Kluyveromyces lactis: one gene and its partner. The protein of the gene in region 2 purifies or fractionates together with the protein of the main gene of each other region. This does not show direct contact. Links are inferred from orthologs where the notes say so. Each region holds a gene or a part of one and is shown on either strand. Other genes may lie near its edges.

Region 1 (2,320 bases), on a different chromosome or scaffold from region 2:
GGCCTCGATTTCTATGATGAAATTGACGACGACTTCAATGATTCTCCGTTAGATGATATCGATCCATTCTCAAAATTGCATGAATTCTTCGTATCACTACAGCAGTATAATCCCGAAAGGTATCATATTGTGATGCAATCAATGGACAGCGACTCTCAAGATGCATTGAAAACAATACTTGAGTTTGTAACTTCAAGCTTATGAACGCGTGCCTTAACCAATAATGATAGAAAATGATCCGATAAAATCTACAAACGGCAGAGTATAATCGTTCCAAATTCAGAATTGGACAGGTATACATATTCTATAAACGCACTTCAGTCAATCACATGAGGTATTTCATACATACTCCCGTCCTTGAAATGCAGAACGAATTTTCAAACTCTTTCATATAACAATAAATCGTACTATTACACAAGTATTTCTATAAACTTTTCTAGAGCAAGTCTGTCAAGTATAGAGGAGTGAGTTTTGAAGATAATGCAACACTTTGTTTGTTATGTTTTCAGAATTCTTCGGCCTTTACGCCAACTTCTGGATCGTTGCTTGAGGCGTCCGATACTGATGTCTGTTGTAACCTTGACCTAGATTGTCTGAATAATTCTTCCTGTTGTCGTAGTAATTCCTCCTCAGACAAACCGGATTTCTTGAATTTAGCATCCCGCCTCTCTCTAATCTTCTGGTTTTCTTTGTGTTGATGTAAAATCTCTTCTAATGGTGGAATAAATTCATCAAACTCCAAATCTTGTAAGGATTTGATCACGTGATCAGGCGCTATCGTCTTTTTCAACTCTTTATCTGCGATCTCGCTAGCAGAACCCGCTAGCATCATGATGAACTCTACCCCACATTCGATGATTATTTCACGAGCCTCCTTACTGAATGTTAGATCGGAATCAAGTACTTCAGATATGATTTTTTGAACGGTAGCCTTCGGTAATGTAACGTCGTCAACCTCTCCAACCATGTTTTCAATTGCTTATGGTTGAAATTCTAACGGTCTTTATTTTCTAAGATAAAGCTTGTGATTATTATTTTTTGGTTTTGCAAGCTTCCCTGAAAAAACTATAATACTCTCGAACTTAATTCTGTGCTGCAAGTCAATATACCAAACAAGCACTTCACGTAGTAATCAATTAGATAATTGGATGAACTTGAGATGATAACAGATTGTAAACAAATTTAACAATGTCAACTTTTGTTTTTAAATGCCTGGTATTACACTTTTTTGTCCTCCTTGAACTCTAGATCTGAATTATGTATAATAATATATACTAAAAAAATACTCATCGCTATTTCATTCACTATGCAAAAAAATGATATGGCTCGCCAAATTGGCACATTTTTTGATGCTTTATATATAAAACTACGAATCAAACTAAGAAGAAAAGTTGAAAATAAAAAAAAAAAAATTAAAACAACAACACACATCGCACACATCGCATCACCTATGCAAACAAGGGACAATAAGGGAATTCTGATTGGAAAATATATATATATAGATGTATATTCAAATTAGCAACAGGACAGAGACATATAAGTGTTGACCTTGGTTGTTAGGCAGGAGCTCTTTCCTTACTTGACGTAAATTCTTTATGTTGTGTTAATCACCCAGCTTCCTCTCATCACAGTAGAAATGCTAACTAGTGTTTGTTAGGAGATATGAAGTGTATAACTTGAAAGCAGGAAGGCAATGTTTGGAGGTTGTAAAATAAGATTGCAAAAGCTGAGTTAACGAACTCAGCTCAGTGGATGTATCCTGAAGAAAAGCCTTAAATTGGGGACCACTGGCTATATGCTCCAAATCACGTGAACAATATATGCTAACTTCTTATTACCCGGCACTTGTTTTTTGTAAGTAAATCTCACTTTTCTTTCTCCTTTCCAAGCTAAAGCTTTTCATTTGAAACTTTTCATAGCTCATCTCATCGCATCTCATCTGAGCTCATCGCACAGTATTTACTTTTGTGTACTTACTTCTTTCCTAAAGTGTTTCGATAAAACGTCTTGGGATATTAATTGAACAATCACCGGCTTTCGTACTGTTTAAGCTAGAGGTCTACACTCTACCACACGAATAACAATAGCAAGCTTAACGATGGCAACAGCTTCGCCAGTCGTATTATCACAATATGATCCAACCGGACAATATTTTGCATACGTTTCCACCGCTTTGGATAAACAGCGGGTATCAGTGGAGCCAACAACTGCCTCCAAATCTGGTTTAGTGAACGATAATTTTCTCTATTTGGAGGGGAAAGACGTCTGCTGTACATGCATACAATGGATTACTTACAATGACACACCATTGGTAGTTCTG
Region 2 (4,110 bases):
AACCATCTATCAACATAACTGCAGACGCGTAACTTGACAAAACCTCTAGTTGCCTTTCCCTTTCTGACTCTTTTGCCGATTCTATGGCCAAGGAAACGCGATAGCGTGCGTCTTCTAACGGTTTTTGAGCCAAAATCTTCTGAGCATTTGGTAGGAGTGAGAACAATTTGGCATAAAACTCTGTCTGTACTTTCTCGGCAGTTTGGATTGAAAAGGCCTCGGGACCAGCTTCTGGCTCGCCCTTAACTATAATCGCGATTGCGGGAACTCTTTGAGGAGGCAACATTCCTACATCGACAAATGTTGTCATCAAACTCTGACACTGAGTGCGTAATGCTTTTAAAATTGGTGTTAGTTCACGAAAAACTGGAAGTGTAGTCGCGCCCGTCAAAAACCCTAGGAAAGTAGAGCTAAATAGTGTAGACATGAAAGCGGGTACCGGATTATGCTGTTGATTCTCTTTCCAATTCGTGCAAAACGATGATAGAACTATAGCTACCAACATTCTTGGGGTAGAGTATGGTAAATCAAGACAACTTGCTAAGACATTCTCAAAGAAAGATCTAAGGGTGGATTCTTGGAAAAACGATAAGGTTAAACCCAAAGTTTTCGCAGCCTTTACTCTTGTATTGTATATTATGTCTAGCCCAATTAATGTCACGTCACCAGCCAACATTGGTGAATCAATATTCACGCGATGGCTATAAGTGGCGGTTACATTGCTGCTGTTAGCTGTGGCATTAGAGCGCTTACGCTCAAGGTTTATCAAATAACTCGAAGATGGTTTGGTAATATGCTGAATGTCCATTGCATAATTTTTTCCTTGCTCTCCGATTGGTGTTATTAATAAATGCAAAATTGATGTGAGATATTTGCTGAATACAAAATCAATGCTTTTTTCCTGTCCTTTGCTATTAACGTAACCGTTTAACATTGCGGCATAAAGTTTACAAGATAGATCCAACACTTCCACATTTTGTTCCAATAAAATGTTCTGGTATATCAATTTGAACAGTTTGCCGTTTATCCAATTTTTGGTGGCACTGTCGTTAAGAGACAAGAAAGCTGATAGTAAATTGAGAACGGACTTTCGTACCATTGTGATAGAATGTCTCAAGAAGGGATATAGTTGAGGAACAAGGGATTTGAAGGACCATTCAGATGGTGAGTCGATACTTTTTTGCTTTAATACAGCGAGTACTTGTTCATGTTTGCATAGTTTTGCCAAAAGATCCATTACTGAAGAGACACTTGATGATAAATCATCATCCAAATGTGTCAACGAGTTCCATACTGTAGTTAGCACTAAATCAATGGTGTCAGTTTGTAACTTTACAAAATCATCTGTTATTGGTGAAAGTATAGCAGCAGAGACACTTTGTACGTCATCGTCGCTTTCTTTGAGTCCGTAAAGAACGATGTTTACCACATTGTTAAGTAAGTTGTGTTTGAACAAGAAATCCGTCTTGATCGATACAAAGTATCTAATACCCAACAATCCACCATGGGTAGCTTGCCATATTTTGTTTGGAGATCCTGTAAGTCCAGGATCCTGAAGTACCAATTGCTCCAACTTTTGGAAAACTTTCAATGCAATTTCGTCGTCTAAATGTATCAATAATGTTGCGAGTGTTTGGGCCGCAGATTCTCTGACCGGTGCCACGGCGGTATCGTTAACAAAATCGCTGAATCTATCCAATGCAAAAATTGTTAGGAGACGAGTAGCTAAGTCTTCCAAGCTACAGTAATTACGAGAATCGTTGTCTTGTTTGGACTTACCACTTAGTCTTCCAACTGAGGGAGCATGCTTCTTCATAAGTTCACGTAAACCTAATGCTGCACCGTGTCTTATTTCCCACTGTTCGTTCATAAGATTATCTAATAGGAGTTCATAAATTCCTTGGAATTGCCAGACGAACCCCCTAATCTTTTCATGTTTTTCCAAGATAGGTTGCACCATTGATTCGACCATTAATCTCTTCTCATCGGATTGTTCTGTGATTTCAAGTTTAGGGTTCGTTAAAGTCATTGGTACCGGAGTTGGAGAATCACTCAGATCCTCTTTATTGGGTATCATATTACGTGTGGCACTAGACTGTGACAAATCTACAGGTTTTTTGTTTACCGTTTTAGCTTGAATCTTTTTCTTTCTTCTTGCCATGGCCAGCATTCTTGCTGATCTCTTCGATTCTTTCGTTTCATTTACCGTATCCTCATCTGCAAGCGAATCCGTACTATTTTCCTTTTTCAGATCGGCAAACGAATCCTCTTTCTTCAGATGTTTGACATTGTTAGCGTCATCCTGTTCGATATCTGCAGACCCATTATTATTGATATTAAGAGCTTTCGATTCATAATCATTTGCACTGGCTGCTAGTAGACTCTTCCCAGACTTCAGCAGCTCACTAATCTTCCAACTGTTCAAAGTAAAATAATGCGTGTCGTCCTGCAGTTCATTCCATTCATCTGTATGTGACAATTCCTCCAATTTTACCTTCATCTCCTCTTCAATTTTAACTTTGGCAGACTCTGGACCCAATGGCTGCTGCGTCTGGGGATTTTTACTTTCCTCGTCATCCGCATTGGGATCCCACAGCGGTGCATGTGACACTATTCCTCCAACTGCTCTAGCAGCTGTCACTCTAGTTTCCCACTGTTTACTCAATAGATAAGGGTAAACCCGCGATAACAATGGGAGTGTTTGTTCTGGATGTTGTTTGGCTAAATCTCCTAATTGGTCAGCAGCCATATTCCGTACCACTTGCGTGGACCCAGTTTCTAACAAGATAACCTGTCTGTCTAATCGAGACTCCTGTGATGACATGCTAATCACTTGCAATATAATTCAAAAACAAAAATGAAAATAAAAGGGAAACAATGCGATAGACGAGAGCTCTGTATATATACACGTATGTATCACTATCGTGACGTTCCCTCTGGCACGTTACCGTATATGTAGGCGTCTTTTTTCGGGATGTAGTTCTCGCGCCCTTGTTGATATTTTCCAATTTGTTTATTCTGCCGCTGAGACCAAAACAAATAACGCCAAAATATAAACCTTCTTTTATATATGCAGAAATCTCAAGACAGTGAAAAAGAAATATCGGCGAGAAATAACTAGGGTAATGAAAAAATCAAAAAAAACTTAAACAAACTGCTGCTTGAACACAGCCAACAGGCAGAACTGTACAAATAAACAAGAAAAAAAAACAAAAAAAAACAAAAAAAAACAAAGAATATGTTACCCGCAAAACAGGTTTTTTTAGGGAAACTTTCAGTTTAACTTCCATCCTGAAACGCAGGCCCCCCGAAAAAAAAAAAAACTTGCGAAAAAAGTTTGGCGTTTATATACAAAGGGTCAACCCTATGTTTTCTCTGTACTAGGTGATGGGGTTTAGTTTAGTTAACCGCCCATAGTGAGCTTGAGAACGAAAAAAAATGAAAAAAAAATAAACAGAAAGAAAAAGTTCTCAGTAAAAATATCGCACCCGACCAATGGCATGGGTGGAAAGTCGTGCAAAATTACCAGTAATTTGAGAATAATGAACAGTGAAGACAAAAAAACAAAAAAAAATAAAGATGTGCTAGCAAAAGGAGGGAAGCAATTAATTATGTACACCCGTACATCCTCTTCTTATACACCGTTGGTTACGTAAGTAACTAATGAGCTACTTTTTATCGATAAAAATATGTGCGGCCATTCGAACCCGCACTGAACATTTATGTTTATCCGGGTAATGTTCACTATCTTTTCTTTACTTGTTCTTTCTTTTCTTACCGATTGCTTTGTTTTCCGCTGGAAAAATTTTTTTCTCACTGAAAAACTAGAAGCATCATGCGTCACCCGGATTTTTAACTAGAATTTCCGCTGGAAATTCACAGGTGTGTCTGTGGCGATATCGTCGTGAATGGCAAAGCGTAGTGTTCTTTGGTAGTAATTATTCATCGAATCGATGATGTTTAGTTTGTACGTGTTTCTATTTAATCTTGGACAAATTCTCTGCATGCGTTTCTGAGCCTAATTAGGAATCCATTGGCGAGAATAATGACTCTTATGCAGTGTAAAGCAGTGTTGATGAAAAAAAAAGTATACACCACTGGCCTTCTGAG

What was found. The genes of interacting proteins can lie anywhere in the genome.
Region 1: the proteins of MOT1 (region 2) and NCB2 purify together in Saccharomyces cerevisiae (affinity purification with western blotting; 3 studies listed by BioGRID, with this or other methods). This does not show direct contact. The link is inferred for Kluyveromyces lactis from reciprocal best matches to the Saccharomyces cerevisiae genes MOT1 and NCB2.

The regions. Positions count from the first base shown.
Region 1 is NC_006039.1:578,251-580,570, forward strand, and holds NCB2 (negative cofactor 2 transcription regulator complex subunit NCB2), read right to left. Parts: upstream 968-2,320; coding exon 506-967; downstream 1-505. Other genes in the region: SXM1 (Sxm1p), read left to right, coding at 1-204; UTP5 (Utp5p), read left to right, coding at 2,099-2,320. UniProt on the Saccharomyces cerevisiae protein: Component of the NC2 complex which represses RNA polymerase II transcription through binding to SPT15/TBP and thereby inhibiting the assembly of the preinitiation complex.
Region 2 is NC_006041.1:2,106,773-2,110,882, reverse strand, and holds the start of MOT1 (DNA-binding ATPase), read right to left. Parts: upstream 2,825-4,110; coding exon 1-2,824. UniProt on the Saccharomyces cerevisiae protein: Regulates transcription in association with TATA binding protein (TBP). Removes TBP from the TATA box via its C-terminal ATPase activity. Both transcription activation and repression require its ATPase activity.